Linked DNA regions of Arabidopsis thaliana. The protein of the gene in region 2 interacts with the protein of the main gene of each other region in a pairwise test. Each region holds a gene or a part of one and is shown on either strand. Other genes may lie near its edges.

Region 1 (9,120 bases), on a different chromosome or scaffold from region 2:
TCTTAACTCCTTTATGTCTCATCAATGATCTGATCCTAGTCACATCTTTCCAACGCCCTGCATTTGCATACAAATTTGAGAGTAATGTATATGATCCATCATGATTAGATGCTAATTCTGTTATTTTTTCCGCAGCGTACTCCCCGAGTTCAACTTTTCCGTGGATTCTGCAGCAACTGAGAAAAGCAACCCATACCACAGGAGGAGGCTCCATTGGCATTTCTTCAATGAGACGCAAAGCTGCATTCAACCGGCCAGCACGACCTAACAAGTCAACCAAACATGCATAATGCTCCGGACCAGGACTAACCCCAAAAACAGTTTTCATTCTATTGAAATACTCCATGCCCTGATCAATCATTCCTGAATGACTACAAGCATATAATACAACAAGTAATGTAACACCATCAAGCTTAAAACCTATTCTCCTCATTTCATCAAAGATTCCAAGAGCTTCTTCTCCATAACCATGCATACCATAACCCGTCATTAGAGATGTCCAAGTAACTTCATTTTTCGCCATCATATTGTCAAATACAAGGCGGGCATCACTGATGCTTCCACATTTTGCATACATGTCTATTAGACAGTTTGATACGAACAGCGGTACTGCATTCTGCTGGTTGCGCAACGCATAAGCATGAATCTGCTTGCCAATTCTTAGTGCAGCCAAACTGGCACATGCCACGAGGGCACATGATATGGTAAAAGCATTTGGTCTTGTTTGGCAATCTTCCTCAAACATCTCAGATAAAAGTTCGAGAGCTTTATTTGCATCCCCGTGCTGGGAGTATCCACCTATCATCACAGTCCAAGTCACAACATCCCTTTCCTTGGGGGAAAGTGAATCAAACATAGCACGTGCAGTATCAACCTTTTTGCACTTAGCGTACATGTCAATCAGTTGATTGATTACCATATTCTCATCACCATGACCGTTCTTACGCAAGTCTATGGGATATTTGATGGCATAACAATGAATCTCTTTACCATGCATCAATGCTCCAACAGAAGCACAACCCGAAAGAACCGAAATAAGCGTGACTTCATTTGGTTTTATCCCAGAAGACAACATCTGCCTACACACACCCAAAGCTTCATATCCAAGTCCCCGTTGAGCATACCCTGAAATAGCAGCACTCCAAGTAACAACATCCATTTTTATTTTCTCTTCCTGCATCTTCTCAAATAACCTAACAGCATCTTCAAACCTTCCAATCTGTGAATACCCAGCAACCATAGCATTCCAAGATACTACGTCCTTCACTGACATGTTCGAAAACACCGTGTTTGCCTCATCCATCATCCCACACTTTGCATACATATCCACCAAGCAATTCCCTACAAACATATTCTGTATCATCTCACTTGTGACTGCAAAACAATGCAATTGCTTCCCTAGTGAATGAGTTCCTAGGGAAGCACAAGGAGGAAGAACATTCACAAGGGTAATATTATCAGGTCTACATCCGAATTCATTGGTCATCCTGCTAAACATTTCAAGCGCCACCTTAGGTTTGCCTAACTTTGCATAACTTTCTATTATAGAGTTCCACGATACAACATCCCAAACAGACATTTCGTCGAACACCTTCCGTGCATCACTCAATGAACGACAACGGGAATACATAGCAACAAGCGCATTCCCAACAAAGACATTGGAGATAAATCCAGTTACCAGAGAAAGCGCGTGAGCAGATTCTCCACAACGAACGGAGGATATCTCGCCGCAAGCCTTGAAGACGAAGGGGAATGTGTAATTATCCGGCGTCCATGACAGAGAATGCATAAGGCCGAACAAATAGAGACATTTATTGGCGCAGCCATTGTCGCCGTAGCTGCGAATGAGTGAATTCCAATGGTAGACACCAGCGTCAGATGGAGGAAAACGACGGAGGAGAGATACGGCATGAGATAAGCAACCGACGGAGATATAGGTGGAAATGAGGTGGGAAGTGAGATTCAAGGTTAGGATTCCGAAAGAGAGGAGTTTCTGGTGAATAAGCTTGACCTGAGAGATGGTTTTGCATTTGTGAATAAACGGCGGTGTTATCTCCGGCGCCGATGTCGAGAAGAGAGAGACTTTAATGTACTGGTGAGATTTTGCGGCGGCGTTGGGGATGAGAAGGCGGCGGATCATACTACTGTAACTAGAGTGGCGGGTGATTTCTGCGTTTAAACTAAACAAATCAATTCGGTTATATCCCGGTTTTAGATTGGAAATTTGAAGAAAGTAATGAAACCGGATGTGAAAAGAAGAAGAAAGTATAATAGACCGATTAAAATTTAAAGCGAATTTCGGTTCGGTTTATGTGCTAAGCGACCTGCGTTTGCGGTTGAGTGGACGCTTTGGATAGCGTTTGTAGCTCAGCTTTGAATTGTTTTGAAATTTTCAAAATCGCAGTTTATAGTTTCGAGAACCCAGAAGACCTTTAATCTCCCGCCTCTTTCACACCATCAGACTCCATTATCGAAGCTCGTTCACTCTTCTCTCTCTCCAAATTCGAGAGAAAGGAGGAGGAAGGTGTAATGCCGCGTAAACCTAGACATCGTGTACCGGAGATTCTATGGAGGTTATTCGGAAACAGAGCCAGGAATTTAAACGACGCAATAGTAGATCTGATTCCTAACCGGAATATCCAGCCGGAGCAATGCCGATGCCGGGGTCAAGGTTGTCTCGGTTGCAGCAGCGATAAACCGGCGTTTCTGCTGCGTTCCGATGATCCCATTCACTACCGTAAACTTCTTCACCGTTGCTTCGTTGTACTTCACGAACAAACCCCTCCGCTTCTGGATTTCTCTCCAACATCTTGGTGGTCACAGAGAGAGGTAAGATTCTTCTTCCCACTGTACTATACATTGCTTTGAGTGCTTAATTTGAGATATTTCAAGACGTGGCTACTCCTTATAAAATGCCTCTATGTTATCTTATTTTGTATGATGTTGCTGATTTCTAAACATTTTGCTTCAATTGAGTTTATCAGATTGTTGAAAGGATTATTGAAATGATGCAATCTGGATGTGATTGCCAAAATGTGATATGTGCCAGATATGATAAGGTGAATTCTTCTTCTTCCTTCTCAAACTCAATGTAGAGTGCTGATTTTCTTAGCCTAATGATTTCTCGTCTCCTTTGACAGTATGATCAGTCGAGCCCTATTTTGGAGCTATTGACAAGTTCATCTTGGGAGTTTCTTCTCAAGCGGGTTTGTTCTCAAACCCTTTTGATGATTTACTTTCAATATTCGAGTTTGCGGTCACTAATATTCAAGTTCCCTTGTTTATAGGTCGGTCATGACGTCATGGTTTATCTTCTACAGCAAACATCAATATTCTTACCATTACTAGGGAAAAAACACCAGCAAGTGTCTGGACCTCCTCTATGTATCAAGCATAAGCGTGAGTCTCAGAATTAAACTTGTATCCGAGCTCTTCTGTTGGCTTTCTTTTGAAACTTCCACTTTCTTGTTGGTTCTCTGAATACTTATGATTTGTCTGTGACTGCTTGGTTATCGATTATCAACTTCTGGTTTTTAGTTCATATTAACTTAGTAAAGTTTTCCTTCTCCATGGTATAGGGACATTGTCAGTCCATGAAAACAAAAGAAAGAGGGATGACAACGTTCAGCCACCAACGAAAAGGCAGTGGCTTTCTTCAGCTGTCGATGACTGTCCTAAGGATGACTCTGCAACTATTACGCCCATAGTTGGCGAGGATGTAGACCAACATAGAGAGAAAAAAACTACTAAGCGTTCAAGAATATATCTTAAGCGTCGGCGAAAGCAGAGAAAGGTCAATTTCAAAAAAGTTGACTGTAATGCTCCTTGTATAACTCCCAGTACAAATGGTAAAGTCTCAACTGGTAATGACGAAATGAATCTGCACATTGGTATAAATGGAAGTCTCACTGATTTTGTAAAGCAGGTAATGTTCGTAACAATGATATTGATCAATCAAGTTTAAGTTGAAAATGCACAAGTTTAAACATAAAGTTATTGCTTAAAATTACTAAGAGACGTGTATAAATTGCTCTTGATTTATCCTCAGCCTTGAGAAATTGATGGGACTATTTTTGTAGTTGTACTTTGGTGTATTTTAAAAACTGTATCATTTATCTTGTTGTATTCTGGTGGTTATTAATATTCTTCCTGACACTTCATTACCTTCAAATTCGACAATCTGTTCTTGTATTTGTAAGATTTAATCACTGTTTTTTGTAGGCTAAACAGGTTAAAAGAAACAAGAATTTCAAGTTTGGCCTCTCAGAAACGTATTCAGTTATACCACCAAACCGTATCCTTCAGTGGTTTTGACATGTTCAATGACTTGTAGCAACGATAGCTTGATGGAAGTTTAAACGTTACTCTTCTCTATACAGTTCTTCTGCATTGTGAATGATTCCTTATGATATACAGACATTTTAAAAACCTTGAGGCCCAACTGCTCTGATTCAAAGCTCCTAATGAACCATATATTTGGTGAAGTAAATGTTTGGTCAACGACGCCATCTCATGGCAAAGGCAATTGCCCCAGTGGATCTATTTGCTTGTAAGTCATCCATTTATTCTTGTAAGTTCTTCGGCTTACTCTGAGACTTGGAGCATGTATTCAGATAATGTAGAGCACATATCTAAGTAGTCTGAGTTATAAAAGGAATTTGTTTAAAAGTTTTGTTGAGGTAACTGATGCAAAGAAGAAAATGATATCATGATGTCTTTTACATTGATTTGCAGATACCATTCATTGCTCAAGTCTCTTAAAAATCTAATAGGAAAAACAAAGTCTTCACATTTAAAAATGCTACTAGACAAACACTGTCCTGTTCTCTTGCTGCAAGAGGATGCATTGAAGTCCGGAACGACTTCTCAGGTTGATATTTTTCTTTTAGAGATGGTTTTCATATTTAATTTCCCTAGCGTTTTTCGTTTGATGTCTTTTGAGTATTTCTATTTCAGAGAAGTTATGTTGAATATTCGAATATGTACAACAAAAAGAAACTAGAAATGGAAAATCAACACAGTTGCTACTTTATAGACTTTGGATATATAGTGCAAACCTGCATAAGAATTCATATCCGTGGCACTTCCAAGTGCTTCCTTGAAGTGACGAACCTTGCATATCTTGTATTACAGAGTTCAAGGAGGCAAAAAGCAGATAAGCTGCCTCATGGATCAAGTTCATCACAAACGGGAAAACCCAAATGTCCCAGTGTTGAAGAAAGGAAGCTGTATTGCACGAACGACCAAGTAGTTTCCTTTATTTGGGCCATCTGTAGGTACATTGTTCCAGAAAGTTTGCTTGGGACCACTCATCAGATGAGGGTGCTTAGGAAAAATATAGCGTGGTTTGTTTCAAGGCGACGAAATGAGAAATGCACAGTGAATCAGTTTTTGCATAAAGTGAAACCATCAGATTTCCCATTCTTTGCTAGAAAAGAGTTATGCTGTATGGTCAACGGACATGAACTCCAAAGTGAATCCATCAGAAGTACACAGCAGATGTTGTGCACGAAATGGATTTCTTGGCTTTTTTTAGAGATTGTCAAGAAATTGGTGCACTTCAACTTCTATGCCACTGAAAGCCAAGGAGGACGGCTAAATATTTATTATTACCGGAAAAGGAGCTGGGAAAGATTAATAAGCAAAGAAATTAGCAAAGCCCTTGATGGATATGTCCTAGTAGACGATGCTGAAGCTGAAAGTAGCAGGAAGAAGCTATCAAAGTTTAGATTTTTACCAAAGGCCAATGGTGTGAGGATGGTGTTAGACTTTAGTTCTTCGTCAAGGTCGCAATCTCTTCGTGATACACATGCTGTTTTGAAGGACATCCAGCTCAAAGAACCAGATGTTCTTGGGTCTTCTGTCTTTGACCATGATGATTTCTACAGAAACCTATGCCCATATCTGATCCATTTAAGAAGTCAATCTGGAGAACTTCCTCCTTTGTACTTTGTGGTTGCGGATGTATTCAAAGCATTTGATTCAGTCGACCAGGGTAAGCTGCTTCATGTCATTCAAAGTTTTCTGAAAGATGAATACATCTTAAACAGATGTAGGCTGGTCTGCTGTGGGAAGAGATCCAATTGGGTAAACAAAATACTAGTCTCGAGTGACAAAAATTCTAACTTTTCAAGATTCACATCAACTGTTCCATATAATGCACTGCAAAGTATCGTGGTTGATAAGGTATGCTTCTTTTTGACCTAGAGCTTTTTGATCTTTTTGCAGAGGGTAAAATACAAAACTATTGGACTACTTAAAAAAATCTCTAGAGATCTCTTTTCTTAGTGCTTGTAGCGTCCCTGTTGTTCTTTACTTATTTGCTTAACGGTGTTATGGTTTTGGTCCAACCTTCTAGGGAGAAAACCATCGAGTGAGGAAAAAGGATCTAATGGTTTGGATAGGAAATATGCTAAAGAACAACATGCTGCAGTTGGATAAAAGCTTCTATGTACAAATAGCTGGAATACCTCAGGGACACAGATTATCATCCTTGTTATGTTGTTTTTACTACGGGCATCTCGAGAGGACTTTGATCTACCCATTCCTCGAAGAAGCCTCTAAAGATGTGTCTTCTAAAGAATGCAGTAGAGAGGAAGAGCTTATAATTCCCACGAGCTATAAGTTACTGAGATTTATTGATGACTACCTTTTTGTGTCTACCTCAAGAGATCAGGCGAGTAGCTTCTATCACAGGTTGAAGCATGGATTTAAAGATTACAACTGCTTCATGAACGAAACAAAATTCTGCATAAATTTTGAAGATAAAGAAGAACATAGGTGTTCTTCTAATAGAATGTTTGTGGGAGATAATGGAGTTCCTTTTGTCAGATGGACGGGTTTGCTTATTAATTCCCGCACATTTGAAGTTCAAGTTGACTACACAAGGTCTGCCTCATCTCCTGTATGTTTCCTTCATAAGTATACTTGTTTGGCTCTGTTTCCTCAGCTTTTATTTATAATTTTGCCTCAAATTCATGGAAACAGGTACTTGAGTGGCCATATAAGCTCAACTTTTTCTGTAGCTTGGCAGAACAAACCAGTTAGAAATCTTCGGCAAAAATTGTGTTACTTCTTGGTTCCGAAATGTCATCCAATTCTATTTGACTCGAACATCAACTCGGGAGAAATCGTCAGGTTAAACATCTATCAGATCTTTCTGTTGGCTGCAATGAAGTTTCACTGTTATGTCTACGAGGTGTCCCGGTTTTGGAAGCTTCATCCTCAAACTTTGTTCAAATTCATCACAATATCTGTCAGGTATGGAATCAAAACTACATCATATGTCTGTGAGCATTTCGGTTTTTGGATCATTCTGATTTGAGTTATTCGGTCTTTTTTTGCTTATTCGGTTCTTGATTTCTTTCCAACTGATAGGTACATGTTCAGACTCATAAATAGAAGGGTGCGCAGAATCAACACTGGTTCTAGTTTCAGACCAGTTCTTAAACTATACAAAGAAGAAGTGATATGGCTTGGCTTAGACGCTTATATTCAAGTTCTGAAGAAGAAAAACTCGAGATATCGAATGCTCTTGATCTATTTAAAATCTGCACTTTCTAAACACTCTCTTTCTCAGCAGCTATCGTCGGAATTGAGGTATGCAACAGACCGGTCAAACTCTTCTTCGCTGTGGAAGTTGAATTATTGAAACTGATCTTAACTAGATTTTATCATCGAAACTTAGGTAGATCCTTTAAATTTCTATTTCAGTCATTTTGATAATCTAGGAACAAAATGGATTTGTAACATTTAGGGTAAAGAAAGATTTAAATGTCAACTTATTAAATATGTATATTGGAAAAAACCCAAACTATAGTCTAATAGTGGTAGGGAAAATCCAGGCATAGCTTATATGGTACATCCCAAAGACCAAACCAGATTTCCAACTTCCATGTCAAAGAAACCAACAAGGAGAAACAAAGGAAACTGTTTAACTTGATGATATTAGTTCTTCGAGTATTCGGACGAATGAATCGGAGAATACCCTTCTGGCAGTTGCTGCTGCGACTGTGCTGGTTGCGATGGTTGCTCAGCTTCAACCTTCTCTTTTGTTTTCTGTCCAACCTCTCCAGCTGCTTGAGCCACTCTATTGAATGCTCCTGCGGCCCAGCTCACACCAGTTAACACGTAACGGTTCTTCATCACAGCGCTTCCTGCACTGCTCACAGTCTGCTCCGCAGCTGCATACACAGACTTGGTCCTCTCTGTTACCTGAAAGTTTTGGTCCACCGCCTTGATTTTTTCGTTCACCAAGCTTGTTCCAGCTGTAAGTTTCTGGCTAAGACCGATTTTTTGGTCTAGTGAAGCAACTCCTGCGGTGGCGGTTGAGGTGAAACCATGTTTCTCATCAAAAGCTTTTGCTTTGCCGACAGCATCTTTCCCAAGAATGAAACCCTTTGCTAACATGCTGCTCACAACATCTTCTGCCTTCTGGACAACAGATTCTGCACCGCTGCTCTGTGTTTCCTGAGAAAATTAACACAAATTAACACCTCTACGAAATTACTGCTCTATTGAGTGTTGAGATGAATACTTTTCACTAATCAAAAAGAAGAAAAACAGTATGAAGAAGACATTACAGCATGAGGGGCTGCTGGTGGACTGTAGTTGGGAGCCAACTCAATGATGACTGATTGATCGGCAATACTCGCTCCCTGAAATAACACCCCTTGTTAGTAATGCAAATTGCAAATGGTCCCAAATATTAGTTGTAAGCAAACTAATTTTACTTATAAATACTCAGAGATACTTTGTCTGGACTAGAGAAGTATAACCATATTAAACGAAGGTTTATAGACATGGATTGATTACTAAATTAACAGTGTTATGTAAGAGTTGAATGCTACTACAATAATATTGAGATAAGAGTGAACCCACAGATAAGAGCACAGCAGTCTCTGCTCCTTGAGTTTCTTTAAATGTGACATAAGCACTATGCTCGTTACTGCTAGTTAGAAAAAGAAAACAAAAACAAAGCTCAGAGTCAGTAAGTTTAAGAGAACTGTATCTAAATTTGCTGAGAAAAAGCTTCGGAAGTTAATTGATCAAAAAAAGCTTTAAATGTCAAAATTTTGAAATCAAAGAACAAGGAAACAATATCACTAACCTTTGGATATC
Region 2 (7,725 bases):
ATGCCAAATTTTCAAGAATCTCCTCTTTCTACAACGCTATTTACAAACAAAAGCAAACACTAGTTTTACATTTACAGTCCATACTTATCGACTCGTAAAAAACAAAACAAGAAAAATACAAAATTATCATCTTATTCTTACCTTGTGTTTGAGTTCCCTAATTCCACCAATACTCCTCACTTTAACGTTATGGAATCCGTAGAAGAGAAGGAAAATGCAATCGGTTCAACCGGCAGAAAAGACCGGACCAGAATGTTGAGTAGTGGAAACAATGGGTCCGACGATTAGAGAAGCAAACAAAAACCCTCTTCGACAAAATTTAATTCAACAAATACTGTCATCCATATCTTTTCTTTTCATGTACGTTTGATTATACACGTAAAAGACTTTTGCGTGGTGTAATGAGATGGAACACGTGGCAAGACAGCATGCACTCGCACATGTACTTAGTCAGACAGATTTCGTTGTCTTTGAACTGTGCTCGTGTTTTCTCGCATTTCCGCACGTGGTCTCAAGTCAACCATTATCCACTTCAACTCCTACGATTTTGTTTCTATATCACTACCTCCATACATATAACCAAATTTTGAATGTTACTATTAGATCGTGTTGTGAATCTTGCATTCAAGCTTCTTGGACTTGCCTCTAACAATTCACTCTTCATGGATTCCTCCCGTCGAGTTCCATTTTCACGACATGATGATAAAGGAAAACATGTTGACAGATAAACTGAAGAGTAAATATATAGTTATATTTTGGTTTTCCAAAGAAAATAAAAATTAGTCAAATTTTTGTTTTTTTCTTTGATGTGCAGTGTTAGAATTTCTTCCTTCCAAATAACTTAACTCGGAATATTATTGAGAGGCTATAGACAAGCAAACTAGTGTCGGCCTTCCTTGATGTTTAAGGTCCCAATCTAGAGCAATGAAAAACAAGACAACTTTTTTGAGAAAAATTCAATCTGCCTTTATAAATCGTCTTTTTTGGTTACTTGGATCTGTTACGTTTCTACAATGAACCAAATTAAACAACTATGGTGTTTTCATTAAGCAAACTAAACAACTACAGCTATATAAGTGGAGATATGGAAAGGGGTCATGTTCCTACATTCCAGAACAAAGGATCATATCTTTATTACTGTGAAAGAAATGACAATTTTTTAAATAAATAAAATGTAATTTCTTCAATTTTGTTTTTTGTAATTTTACAATGAGTGCAACATTTTAGTAAATGTTTTTATGCTATTATACAAATCAAACGAGAATATTAAAATGACATAGTCACGAAATCAAATTTATTGAGAGTAAGCTTGATAAATCAAATTTAGAACTAACCAAATCTTTGACTTTCTTATTTGCTCTCACATTCCTGAACAGTTAGATCAATCGTACTCTCCAACTTTTCTACGCACAAAATTTAAAAATTTGATAGTTTTTCTTTTCATTAAATAAAAGACGAGAAACGGTTATATTTGCCTGAGTAGAAACCGCCGATAACAACAAAGTGGAAAATATGGCTAGTTTGTATTTTTAAGTAATTTCTCGATTTAATTTACTTAGGACAAAAATGTATTTATAGAGAAATCGTGCTTTTATTTATTTATTGAGAAGATTCTTTTTTGTTGTTTTGTAAATATTTATTTAACATTTTTATTGGTACAGTGACTTATGTTTTACAATATAAAGGATTTATAAAAATAAAAATTATTTTTCTTTGTCTCTTAAATATGGATATACCCAAATATCATTTTCCATAAAAATTCGGTGTTATCCAAATCTCAAAACCCTATTTTTCATAGATGTTTTTGTTTCTCTTATAAATTCATCACTGAATCTCTCATGCTCACCATTAATTCTCAGCAATAAAAACAAAGAATGAACGATTCAATGAAAGCTCCAAAATTCTTTAAAAACCAGCTAAAACTAGCGGAAGCACATTATCAAAGAGGTAATCTAAAAGGAGCCATTGAAATCGTGAATGACTTAACGTTTGGTCACCCAAACACATCTTCAAACCACCATGAGATCTCACAGATTCTCCTCGCCTATCAAATCAACTTGACTAGCCAAAAAGCCAGTTTCACACACTACGATATCTTGAGAATCTCAAATCCGTTCTGTAGCCATCAGATGATTCAAAGAAAGTACAGAGACATCTTGGTTAAGCTCTACCCCGACACAAATAAATCTATTGCCGCCAAATCAGCTTTCGAGATTATTAATTATGCGTGGAAGATCTTGTCCGATCCTGAAAAACGAAAAGATTACAATATCAAAAAAAGGTTTAAGTGAAGATGATTCATGTCTCCAGAAGATCATGAACCACATCAAACAGTGAGGCAAGGGTTTCATGTCTTTCTTGGGAATTGGAATACAAAACCTATTTGTTCTTCTTCTTTTTTTAGGTTAATTTTATGATTTTATTTTATTTTATCTAGGTATTAATTCCAAGTAAACTTGTGACAGTTTGAAAGTGCTAATGGATATTTTTACAAACTTTTTTTGAATTTATTTAAATGCAAAATTTACAGTTTTGCTGCCATAATAATTATGATTTGATAAGAAAAGTTACGATTCTAGTAGAGTTTGCTTTTCGTTGGAATAACGTGATTATATTTATTTTATTTTAATACAAGATAATTACATATAATGATATAATATGTTGCGAAAAAAGTCTCTGATTCTTGGGAGAAAAGATTCGAAAAGAAGGAAGGATCCAACAAAATCCGAAATTATTATTAACTGAAAAAACAAAAATTTTGCGCCAGCGTGGCAATACTTCTCTGTCAGGAGGAAGGATCCAACAACCAATAAAACTCCGACCCGGATCCGAACCCGAAAGCACCAGACGACTCGTCCTCCACGATCCCAATTTCTCCAATTTCAATTTTGCCAAAGAGCGAGAGAGAAGGAAGAAGATCCAGACGAAGTGGTTTGCCTTCAGGGAACGAGAGAGAGAAAGAGATTTTAACAAACGATGTCGCTGAGGCCGAGCACACGCGCGGAGCTAAGGAAGAAGATATACAAGACAGGCGTCGATGCCGATGAGGCCAGGCGGAGGAGAGAGGACAATCTCGTCGAGATTAGGAAAAACAAGCGTGAGGATAGTCTTCTCAAGAAGCGTCGTGAAGGAATGATGCTTCAGCAGCAGCTGCCTCTCGGAGCTGGCCTTGATGGTCCCCAGACCGCTGCCGCCGTTGAGAAACGAGTAAGTTCCCTTTGATCTGAATTTCGATACAATTGTGCGTGATTTTGTGATTTGGATCACATGATTTGATTATTTAGTGATGGATCTTTGTTTGATTGTTGAAAAAAGTGAGGCTTTGATTCTGTTTCCTACCTCAATTCTAGATCTCAGCTCCCAATCTCATAATTGACCATCAAAGTTTAGTTTTTTGTTTTTGGGAATTTGTTTATGGATATTTGGGATTGATAGCGGATCCTGGATGACCATGTATGCTGATCGCAATGTATAGTGTGCTTTAGTTAGATATCGGAATTTCTATCTTCTGATCCGATGATCTTGTCAATGGATTGGATGTGTTACATTTCTAGCCAAGGAGAGGTTTTCGTTTCTGTGGAAACAACTGTTTGATTACGTTCATGTGCTTTTGACAGTTAGAAGGTATCCCAATGATGGTACAAGGTGTTTATTCTGATGATCCTCAAGCTCAGCTAGAAGCGACTACCCAATTTAGAAAGTTGTTATCTATAGGTAGGTATACATTTGTTCCTTTCAGAAGCAATTTTCTGTTCTGGGGTTGTATGTGTGTAATAGACTTCTGATGGTTGCTTGTAACACGGTTTGATAAACAGAGCGTAGTCCTCCAATTGATGAAGTGATCAAAGCTGGGGTTATCCCTCGATTTGTGGAGTTTCTTGGAAGGCATGACCATCCTCAATTGCAGGTATGTCTTGTACTTCTTTCATTTTTAGATTTGTTCTTTATTAATTGCACCTTGAAGACTCAAGAATAGTTTGGTGGCTTAATGAAAAGTTTGTTTGCAGTTTGAGGCTGCATGGGCTTTGACCAATGTTGCGTCAGGAACATCAGATCATACTCGGGTTGTAATCGAACAGGGGGCGGTTCCTATCTTCGTTAAGCTTCTTACATCTGCTAGTGATGACGTTCGAGAGCAGGTTTGCCACTAACTAGCTAGATAACTGCGTGCTTCCATTTTGTATATGTGACCTGGTCCACCTGGATACATGCCTCTAAGTTCCGTGGTCGTATTTGGTTTGTTTGTTGTTTGTTTTGATCCTTAGTGGTTTTTCGTGATATAGTCAGCCAACTGCTTTTCCGTAGTCATAGGTGCTATAACTTTTTATGGCTTCGTACAAACCCTTACATGATATCATTGTAGGCGGTGTGGGCCTTGGGAAATGTTGCTGGGGACTCTCCAAACTGCAGGAATCTTGTTCTCAACTATGGGGCCCTTGAGCCATTGCTGGCTCAGTTAAATGAAAATTCTAAGTTGTCCATGCTAAGAAATGCTACATGGACCTTGTCCAACTTTTGTCGTGGTAAACCACCAACACCATTTGAACAGGTATGACTACAGGAATGGCTTCTCTTTGATTTTTCTGGACAACTTATGATTGATGGTTCTAGTTTATTTATTTATTGTTATTATTATATTTGTTTCGTTGTGTTCCTTACTTTACTCAAGCCTAGTGTTGGTTATTCATATGTTTCAGGTGAAGCCTGCGTTGCCAATTCTTCGGCAGCTTATCTATCTGAATGATGAAGAGGTTCTCACTGATGCTTGCTGGGCTCTCTCCTACCTTTCAGATGGCCCCAATGATAAGATTCAGGCTGTGATTGAGGCAGGTGTCTGTCCACGACTTGTGGAGCTTTTGGGGTTAGTTCTTTTTTTCCTGACCAATAATTGACTAGACATTATTTTTGTTTATTTCTCATCATATTTAGTCTCTCTATAAAAGTTTGTCTATCTCAATAAAGGTGTTGGTATCTTCAAATTTGTGATGCTTTTTGAGTATCTTCTGGCAACTGAATGTTGATGTTCTTACTATCTCATATTCTTGTTCCTTTTGTTTATTTTTTTTTTCCTTGGTGCATCTATACTAATTAATATATCTTTCTTCAAGTCATCAATCACCTACGGTTCTCATTCCTGCTCTTCGAACTGTTGGGAACATCGTAACTGGTGATGACTCTCAGACACAGGTATGATTTATGACGAACGACTATTTATGTTGTTTTGGGTATTTGTTTTGAGATTTTGACTATGACTGTGTCTTTGCTTGTCAGTTTATAATTGAGAGTGGCGTACTACCACACCTTTATAATTTGCTGACGCAAAATCACAAGAAAAGTATAAAAAAAGAAGCTTGTTGGACTATCTCGAATATTACTGCTGGGAATAAACTTCAGATAGAGGTATGCGGTTTTTTTGTTGCTATCTCTAATATGTCAAGAAGACGGCTGTTCATGGAAGATATTCATTTCTGATTCTGGAAGAAAAGTGAAGAAGTTACTCTTTTCTTAACTTTTTAGTAGAGCGAGCTAATTTTAGTACTTTCATATTTTCCAATGACTTCTCTGCCTAGAAACCTAATTATACCCTATTTGCTACTGAAAATATTGAGATTAATTAAAGTTTCAGAGGCTAAAAGCAATTTTTTAATCAGTTTATATATTTGAAACAATAGGCTGTGGTTGGCGCTGGAATAATCCTCCCTCTTGTGCACTTGCTCCAAAACGCGGAGTTCGATATAAAGAAGGAAGCTGCTTGGGCTATTTCCAATGCCACATCAGGAGGGTCACATGAGCAGATTCAGTATGTCATCTCTATTCTGAAGCGCATTTGCAAACAACTAACTTCACTTCATAGTGTTCCTTCTTAGTCTTATACCATTATCTATCTCGAAATCGAAAAATGCCATAACACAGTTTTGCATGCAGATATTTGGTGACCCAAGGCTGCATCAAACCACTTTGTGATCTTCTAATCTGCCCTGATCCAAGGATCGTGACAGTGTGCCTCGAGGGTCTTGAAAACATTCTCAAGGTTGGTGAGGCTGACAAGGAAATGGGATTAAACAGTGGGGTGAATCTCTATGCTCAAATAATAGAAGAATCTGATGGGTTGGACAAAGTCGAAAACCTTCAATCCCATGATAACAACGAGATATATGAGAAGGCCGTTAAGATATTGGAGAGATATTGGGCTGAAGAAGAGGAAGAACAGATTCTGCAGGACGGCGGGAATGACAATTCACAACAGGCTTTCAATTTTGGGAACAATCCCGCTGCTCCCGTTGGTGGATTCAAATTTGCCTGAAAAAGGTATACAGTAGTACAAATTGAAATCCTTTGGTTTGGGAAACATGAGATTCAGCTTTTGCAACTGTTATTGACAATTGCCAGGTTCAAGTTCGACTTTTTGAGTTCTGGTGCAAAAAGGCTTATTTTTCTGTTTTTTTTTCTTTTTGTTGTTGATGTTGTCCTTATTTGTCTGAATCATTCTCTGATTCTGTATCTTAAACTCTGCTATGAATTATGTGTAGTGTGGTTTCTGGTTTAGGATATGGTACACTTTGTATTTGTCACTTTAATCTTTGTCGTCGTTATAGTTTAATAACTTTTACTTGGCAAGAGTACAAGTACAAGAAATATTTGATTGCAAAAGAGTCTTCTTGTCTTGTTAATAAAGTCCTCAAATGAATTGGTAAAGGAAAGCTTTAATCTCATCAATATAAGGAGACTTTGTAGGAATGATGTGGCCAAAATCGTGCTCAACAATGGTGGCGCAACCATCTTCAAACAACCCCGCCAGGTCTGAGCTGGCTTGAGTCACAATTTGTCTGTCTTTTCCAGGCTGACTTCCGAATATGTGAAGTGAAGGGCATTTAATCGATCGTTTCTCCTTCATCTCCAACAATGGCCACGGTGTGAAACCCGAGCACAACACGCAGAATCTGAAGTCTATTTCACCTACGAGCTGCTCCTGTTTCCCACATACAGCCGCAGCCATTGCTGCACCTTGAGAGAATCCGAGAATGCCATCAAAAGGCCCTTTCTCTTCAAATGCCGTCTTCAAGTATGTCAACGATTTATCAAACCCTTCAGTTTGAGTCTGATACTGCAATGGATCGAACTGGCATTGGGCCACTGTCCAGCCTGTTTCACTCGGTTTATCAAAATCTGATGACACCAACCACGCAAACTTCTTATTGCATACTCCGGATGGAGGGGTAGCAGTTTGGTAGATGAACTGTAATTCGTGTGGTGCATCGATGAACACAAGCTCGGCAATATTCTTCAGTTTCTTTGCTAGTGATCCGGTCCTCCCTTTAAAGCTAGACGCGTTCTGCCTAAATCCATGCAAGCACAAGATCCTCAGCTTCCGTCTTGTATTGTCACCTGACCATAGAAGTGAATTGACAAAGTTTTCAGGGGAAAAGGGACTAGAGAATTTTGAAAAATCCTCTGATGTTTTAAACATTTGATCCAAAAATGAACAAACAGACCTTACCATTGCTTTCAGAAGGTTGGTTTAAGGGATCAAGACTCAAAGGGACTTCCCCTTTTCCGTGTTTACGACACAGCTCACATATATATATATCTCCTTTAACCTGCAATAGCACATCATAAGTCCAAGATACACAATCCTTATGGAGTTGATCAACAAAAGTGGTCTGGGTGCATTACCCGACAATGATTGCAGACTAAAACAAGCATCCGGCATAATCTGCAACGGCA
Region 3 (5,386 bases), on a different chromosome or scaffold from region 2:
AACGAAGATGAAAACAGTGAAAAGGCTGTCCAATCTTGTTATTTTATCGAGTTAAAGGTGAGCCAGAACTAAAATAAAACAAAAATAATATTTGGCTTACTTGCTTGGTGGTAACTTCGCTCTACTGCATCTACATTCACAAATGGAAACCTTTTCCCCAATTTTGTACCAGTGCAAATGTCTCACCTGTAGAGTGTGGATGAAGAATTTTCATACATGCCTATTCCATCAAATAACTAGCGGATCATATCTCTATATGCATCACAGAACAATTCCCCGAAAAAGTACACGTTGTAATTTGCGAAAGGTACATAAAAAGAAATGCTAGATCATATAAGTCACAAACCAGAAATGTCCTATGTTTCATTATCACATGAGTCTTAGCACCATTCCCATCATAGACATAACATGAACCTTCATCTGGGATTGTCCCAAGACCACTTATAGTTCCAACAAGAAGTCTGGCACCACTTTCATTTCCCGGAGGCGATTCAGTGCCATGATTAGATCCTTCATCTGAATTGAGGAAAACGTGTATAAGATCGTGATCACCCTCAATTTGTTTCTTTTCATGATACCCTTTTGGGGGAACCCTAATGGCTGTAGCAACAACTCTTCCAGATACATGCAGCTGAATATCTTTATACGCATCAGAAACATGGTTTTTACTTCTTGAAGATTGTATATGAGATATCTGAAGACCAATCCTTTCAGCAGACATCATGTCATTGTTGCCTTTCTCAACTGCTTGACCAAGGTCCGAATCCATAAACGACGACAAAGCCAATTTCTTTGAGCAAGCAGAAGAAAGCTCAAGGAAGTTATCAACCAAGGAAACCATACCAAAAAGATCCCGTCCTGATACCAAATGCAAAACCTCTCGTGTATCATACACAGACCTTTCCTCAGCTTCAAAACAATCAGGAAGAAGCTCAACAGATTCAACATCAGGCCCAAAGTAGGCCGCTCGTATAGCTGAATAAAAATCTTCTTCAAGTTCATCTAAGTAACCAGTACCATTTGCTACTCTCTTCTCCAATACTATATCATGTATTGCTTCTCTATACCACTTTAACCATTCAACTACTTCCATCTCTTGACTCAATGTCAATCCTGTTTTATACCTGTGAATCATATAACCTTGTCCCGAGTGCTTCTTCATTACCATTCTCCGAGATAGCAAATATCTATCATAGTGTGCTCTCTTTTCAGAATCTGATAGAATCTGTATCATCACCACAAATCATTCATCAGACACTTCTAAAGCTATAACTCTATCACAAAAGCTTGAAAAGCTTGAAATTTTCGATTTTGAAACTAATCATAAGAGTGAAGAGTGAAGCTTTCTTCATTGTACCTCATAAGCAGCGAGAATCTGAACGAATCGTCTCGAATTTGATGGATCTTTCTTGGATTCGATCAGATCAGGATGAGTCTCCTTGGCGAGTCTGCGAAATGATGCTTTGATCTCTGCGATTGAGCTGGTTTCGGAGACATTCAAGATATCGTAAGCGTTCTCCACCGGAAACTCGTTCCGATTGGACTCAGCCTCGCCGCTCAGCAACCGAGTTCTTCCTTGACTCGGGTTAAAGAGAATTCGCGACGGTTCGAAACCGTAATTCAGTTGAACCGGAACTAATCTACTAAAACGCCGGCGTATCAACCCGGCGAGAATCGTCATTTCACGACCAGTATGGTTTACTCAGGTGGGAACGGAGACCGGAAGTGGAAAGAGGATAACGGCACGCCGATGACACGTGGGTCTCTCGATTTCACGCCACGTCATCACGAGTTCAGACTTTATTGGTCAACAGTAAAAACGGTCTTAGGAAAGAGAGAACATGAAGCCATATTACACTAAATGGGCCTTGAATTTTAATGGGCCAGGATCCTCTCACAGATATTTTTGACTCTTAAAATGATGAGGAAGTGGATGTGAATACGTGGTCGTATACTCACCATGGCATTCCATGAATAATTAATGTCTTCTAACTTCTAAATGATCGAAAAGTACTGACAAGTTAAAGTCAAGCAGAAAAAAACAAATATTATGAGGTTTTTAGATGCTATATTCATTGCAAGTTGTATACATGCGAAATTTAACTAGTGTTGTTAAAATAATAATTATATCAGCTTTTGACTATTTGCTGCCACTCTTTGAATGATTGAAACTAATTTTCTTTCGCATTAATGCATTGTTGAAATTCATGCACAAAATTAAAAATAATTGGTTCATGTATTTGTAACCCAATGTAACAATTTTATTGTTGAACAGAAGTCAGTAACTCCACGTCATGTACTCCATTAAATGTTCCAAAATATTTTGGGCTTGATTCCAAAAAACAAATTATCACGAATAGCGATGTTTGACAATCCAACAAACATGGTTCCATTCACCTTTTTTTGCCACCTGTAAATCGCGATATTTTAAATAATTTATTTCCTCTTCCACAGATACGAATTTTTTTATAAAGAATAATACGTAACACTCTAAAACAACACAAATATCATAATTTCTCCACGAACTGACTAAGAGAGGTACCAAGAAGAAAACCAGAGAAGAATCTTCTTTAGAGAGATGGGTGTGGTAGAAGAAGCTCACAACGTGAAGGTGATTGGTTCAGGAGAAGCCACGATCGTGTTAGGTCACGGGTTCGGCACGGACCAGTCAGTATGGAAACACTTGGTTCCACATCTGGTCGACGATTACCGCGTCGTCCTCTACGACAACATGGGAGCCGGTACGACCAACCCTGACTATTTCGACTTCGATCGTTACTCAAATCTCGAAGGCTACTCTTTCGATTTGATTGCAATCTTGGAAGATCTCAAGATTGAGTCTTGTATCTTTGTTGGCCACTCTGTTTCTGCCATGATTGGTGTCTTGGCTTCTCTTAACCGTCCTGATCTCTTCTCCAAAATCGTCATGATCTCTGCTTCTCCGAGGTATAACTTTTTCACAAGTTGTACATAGAAATATGTTTTGCTTTTTATCTCATCCTGACATAGTTTAGACAAAAGGGCTTCTCTGTTCCTTCTCTTGTCTGATTTCATAAAAACTATTAAACATTACAATTTAAATAAAAAAAAATCATCTTAAGTCCTTAAATTTACACAATTATCTATTATTTCGAAATATTTATTTCTCATTCTGACATAATTTCGACAAAGTGCCTCTTTGTTTATCCTCTTGTCTGAATTATCCTATTTCTCAAAATCAGTGAAGCATTTCATTATATATTTCAATAAAAATCCGTAAATTATGAACAAAAAATCATGAAATACCCATTTGTTTATTTGTTTTTTTTTATTTGGTTTTACTGAGGTGTTACTTACACTTTTTTTAAAAAAAATTGTTGAAACGGTGCTCACACAGTATATTATATATTTTAATTTTCTTCTGACAAAAGAAACATATATAATCAAATTATATTGTTTTGGTACGTTTATAGATACGTAAACGATGTTGATTACCAAGGTGGATTCGAACAAGAAGACTTAAACCAACTATTCGAAGCCATCCGAAGCAACTACAAAGCGTGGTGCTTAGGTTTCGCTCCACTCGCCGTCGGTGGCGACATGGACTCCATCGCCGTTCAAGAATTCAGCAGAACACTCTTCAATATGCGTCCCGACATAGCTCTCTCCGTCGGCCAGACCATTTTCCAAAGTGACATGAGACAGATCTTACCTTTTGTCACTGTTCCGTGTCACATTCTCCAAAGTGTTAAGGACTTAGCTGTACCAGTCGTTGTCTCCGAGTATCTTCACGCCAATCTTGGCTGTGAATCCGTCGTCGAGGTTATTCCTTCTGATGGTCATCTTCCTCAGCTTAGCTCACCAGATTCTGTTATTCCTGTCATCCTCCGTCACATTCGTAATGACATTGCTATGTGATTGTAAGAGATTTAATTAGTTAATTATTAAACGATGTAAGAAAAGTTGAAAAAAAATATCTGATGTGATATGTCTGTCTAGTCTATTGAGAACATTATTTCGTTGTCGTTTGGTTCTGATTCGTTTATCTTGAGTATCTTGATCTTTGTTGTTCTTATCTTGTTTAACGAAAAGTCTCTGTCTTTTGTCCACAGCTTTGCTCAGAGCTCATTATTGCTTGATGTAATAGTGATGTTCGTAATTGATGGTCCATAGTGAATTATTGCAACTTTGCAAGAGTGCTTGTGCTATACTGTGTGAAGAGTAATTAACATGTGATACTAGGAATTAGCATTGAGTTTGCATTTATGGATGGGTAATCCAAACCATAAAACATACATATTGTGATGGTTTTGAAATTTGTTTGTTTGTGAACAAAAATTAGCCAAGTTTTAAACAAAGTAAAATGAAAATTTAGGGTTTTGAATTAGGATGGAGTTAAGTCATATTTTGTTAGGTTTGTTTGCTTATGAAATTATGGATTTGTTTGATGTTATTATAGGGATGCGGTGCAAAAGATATTGTTTTCTATATTATCATTTATCACTAATAACTTTCAAATTTTATTGACGCGCCTGCTCAGATTTTATTCGATTTGTTGTTTATGAAATTAGTTATAGATTGGTAAGTAAATAGCTTTAAAAAATTAGTGATACAAAACAAAATGGTAAATATTGTATTGCTTCTTACTAGTCAATACTATGATTAAACTTCCATTTTATAATTCACTTTATATAAAACTTCTATTTATTTTCTTAAAATTATTTTATTATTGAAATTTAAATATCATTTGGTACAATATTATTTCTTCATCACTAGTCAAATACTATGATTAGCCTACCCAAAAAAAAAGTCAAATACTATGATTAAACTTCCATTTTTTTAAAATTCATTGCAGGTCATACAATTTAAATGTTTACATAGTCATGAAAGAATTGAGAACATATATATACTTCAAATTTGTTCTCCAATACAGTCACACACCTAACTTCAATTTGCTTAGAATTTCTTTGGCAAGACGATTAACAGAGCTAGCCCATTGTAAAAGGGTAATAAATAATAAGTGGGCTAGGCCCATATATACACAACAAAAAGTCACGTGACAAGAAACTTCATACGTGTGCGACTCTTGCCCCAAAATTTGATTAGCACCACTTATTGAGAAGCAGCAGCAGCACCACAAGCACCACCACCAGTATCACATTCACATTCACCATCATCGTCTCTTCGCTCTTATCTCTCCGTTACTTTTTTATTTACTATCTCTCTCTTCCCCGTTACTTTTTTTTCTTCCCCGTTTCGTTCTCCGTCAAAGTCTTCTCTCTTTACCATTTTCTCCACTGTACTAATTTCCCTTTTTACCCCTAAACCCATCGTTCCCGTGACACGACGGCCACGAAGAAGAGGGATAAAATTGAGAAAGATTAAATAGGCGATTGATTTCTCCATC

Evidence for each region.
Region 1: the proteins of IMPA-4 (region 2) and TERT interact in a two-hybrid assay, tested with the Arabidopsis thaliana proteins (2 studies listed by BioGRID, with this or other methods).
Region 3: the proteins of IMPA-4 (region 2) and KAI2 interact in binary tests that used the Arabidopsis thaliana proteins (3 or more experiments, as listed by UniProt).

The regions. Positions count from the first base shown.
Region 1 is NC_003076.8:5,536,854-5,545,973, reverse strand, and holds TERT (telomerase reverse transcriptase), read left to right. Parts: upstream 1-2,414; 5' UTR 2,415-2,529; coding exon 2,530-2,829; intron 2,830-2,984; coding exon 2,985-3,059; intron 3,060-3,140; coding exon 3,141-3,206; intron 3,207-3,287; coding exon 3,288-3,399; intron 3,400-3,578; coding exon 3,579-3,925; intron 3,926-4,221; coding exon 4,222-4,294; intron 4,295-4,416; coding exon 4,417-4,549; intron 4,550-4,734; coding exon 4,735-4,870; intron 4,871-5,133; coding exon 5,134-6,186; intron 6,187-6,358; coding exon 6,359-6,888; coding exon of another isoform or gene 6,889-6,904; intron 6,905-6,987; coding exon 6,988-7,260; intron 7,261-7,377; coding exon 7,378-7,651; 3' UTR 7,652-7,794; downstream 7,795-9,120. Other genes in the region: AT5G16860 (Tetratricopeptide repeat (TPR)-like superfamily protein), read right to left, coding at 1-2,140; BPA1 (binding partner of acd11 1), read right to left, coding at 7,948-8,469, 8,583-8,657, 8,881-8,950, 9,110-9,120. UniProt on the Arabidopsis thaliana protein: Telomerase is a ribonucleoprotein enzyme essential for the replication of chromosome termini in most eukaryotes. It elongates telomeres.
Region 2 is NC_003070.9:2,991,530-2,999,254, forward strand, and holds IMPA-4 (importin alpha), read left to right. Parts: upstream 1-2,801; 5' UTR 2,802-2,976; coding exon 2,977-3,207; intron 3,208-3,617; coding exon 3,618-3,714; intron 3,715-3,815; coding exon 3,816-3,907; intron 3,908-4,007; coding exon 4,008-4,139; intron 4,140-4,363; coding exon 4,364-4,549; intron 4,550-4,697; coding exon 4,698-4,861; intron 4,862-5,108; coding exon 5,109-5,187; intron 5,188-5,271; coding exon 5,272-5,400; intron 5,401-5,672; coding exon 5,673-5,800; intron 5,801-5,925; coding exon 5,926-6,304; 3' UTR 6,305-6,309; exon of another isoform or gene 6,310-6,390; 3' UTR 6,391-6,679; downstream 6,680-7,725. Other genes in the region: AT1G09260 (Chaperone DnaJ-domain superfamily protein), read left to right, coding at 1,875-2,291; AT1G09280 (rhodanese-like domain protein), read right to left, coding at 6,680-7,386, 7,499-7,598, 7,675-7,725. UniProt on the Arabidopsis thaliana protein: Binds to conventional NLS motifs and mediates nuclear protein import across the nuclear envelope. Acts as a cellular receptor for the nuclear import of the virD2 protein of Agrobacterium and is essential for Agrobacterium-mediated root transformation.
Region 3 is NC_003075.7:17,615,556-17,620,941, reverse strand, and holds KAI2 (alpha/beta-Hydrolases superfamily protein), read left to right. Parts: upstream 1-2,285; 5' UTR 2,286-2,578; coding exon 2,579-2,946; intron 2,947-3,452; coding exon 3,453-3,897; 3' UTR 3,898-4,283; downstream 4,284-5,386. Other genes in the region: AT4G37480 (Chaperone DnaJ-domain superfamily protein), read right to left, coding at 101-186, 347-1,225, 1,358-1,681.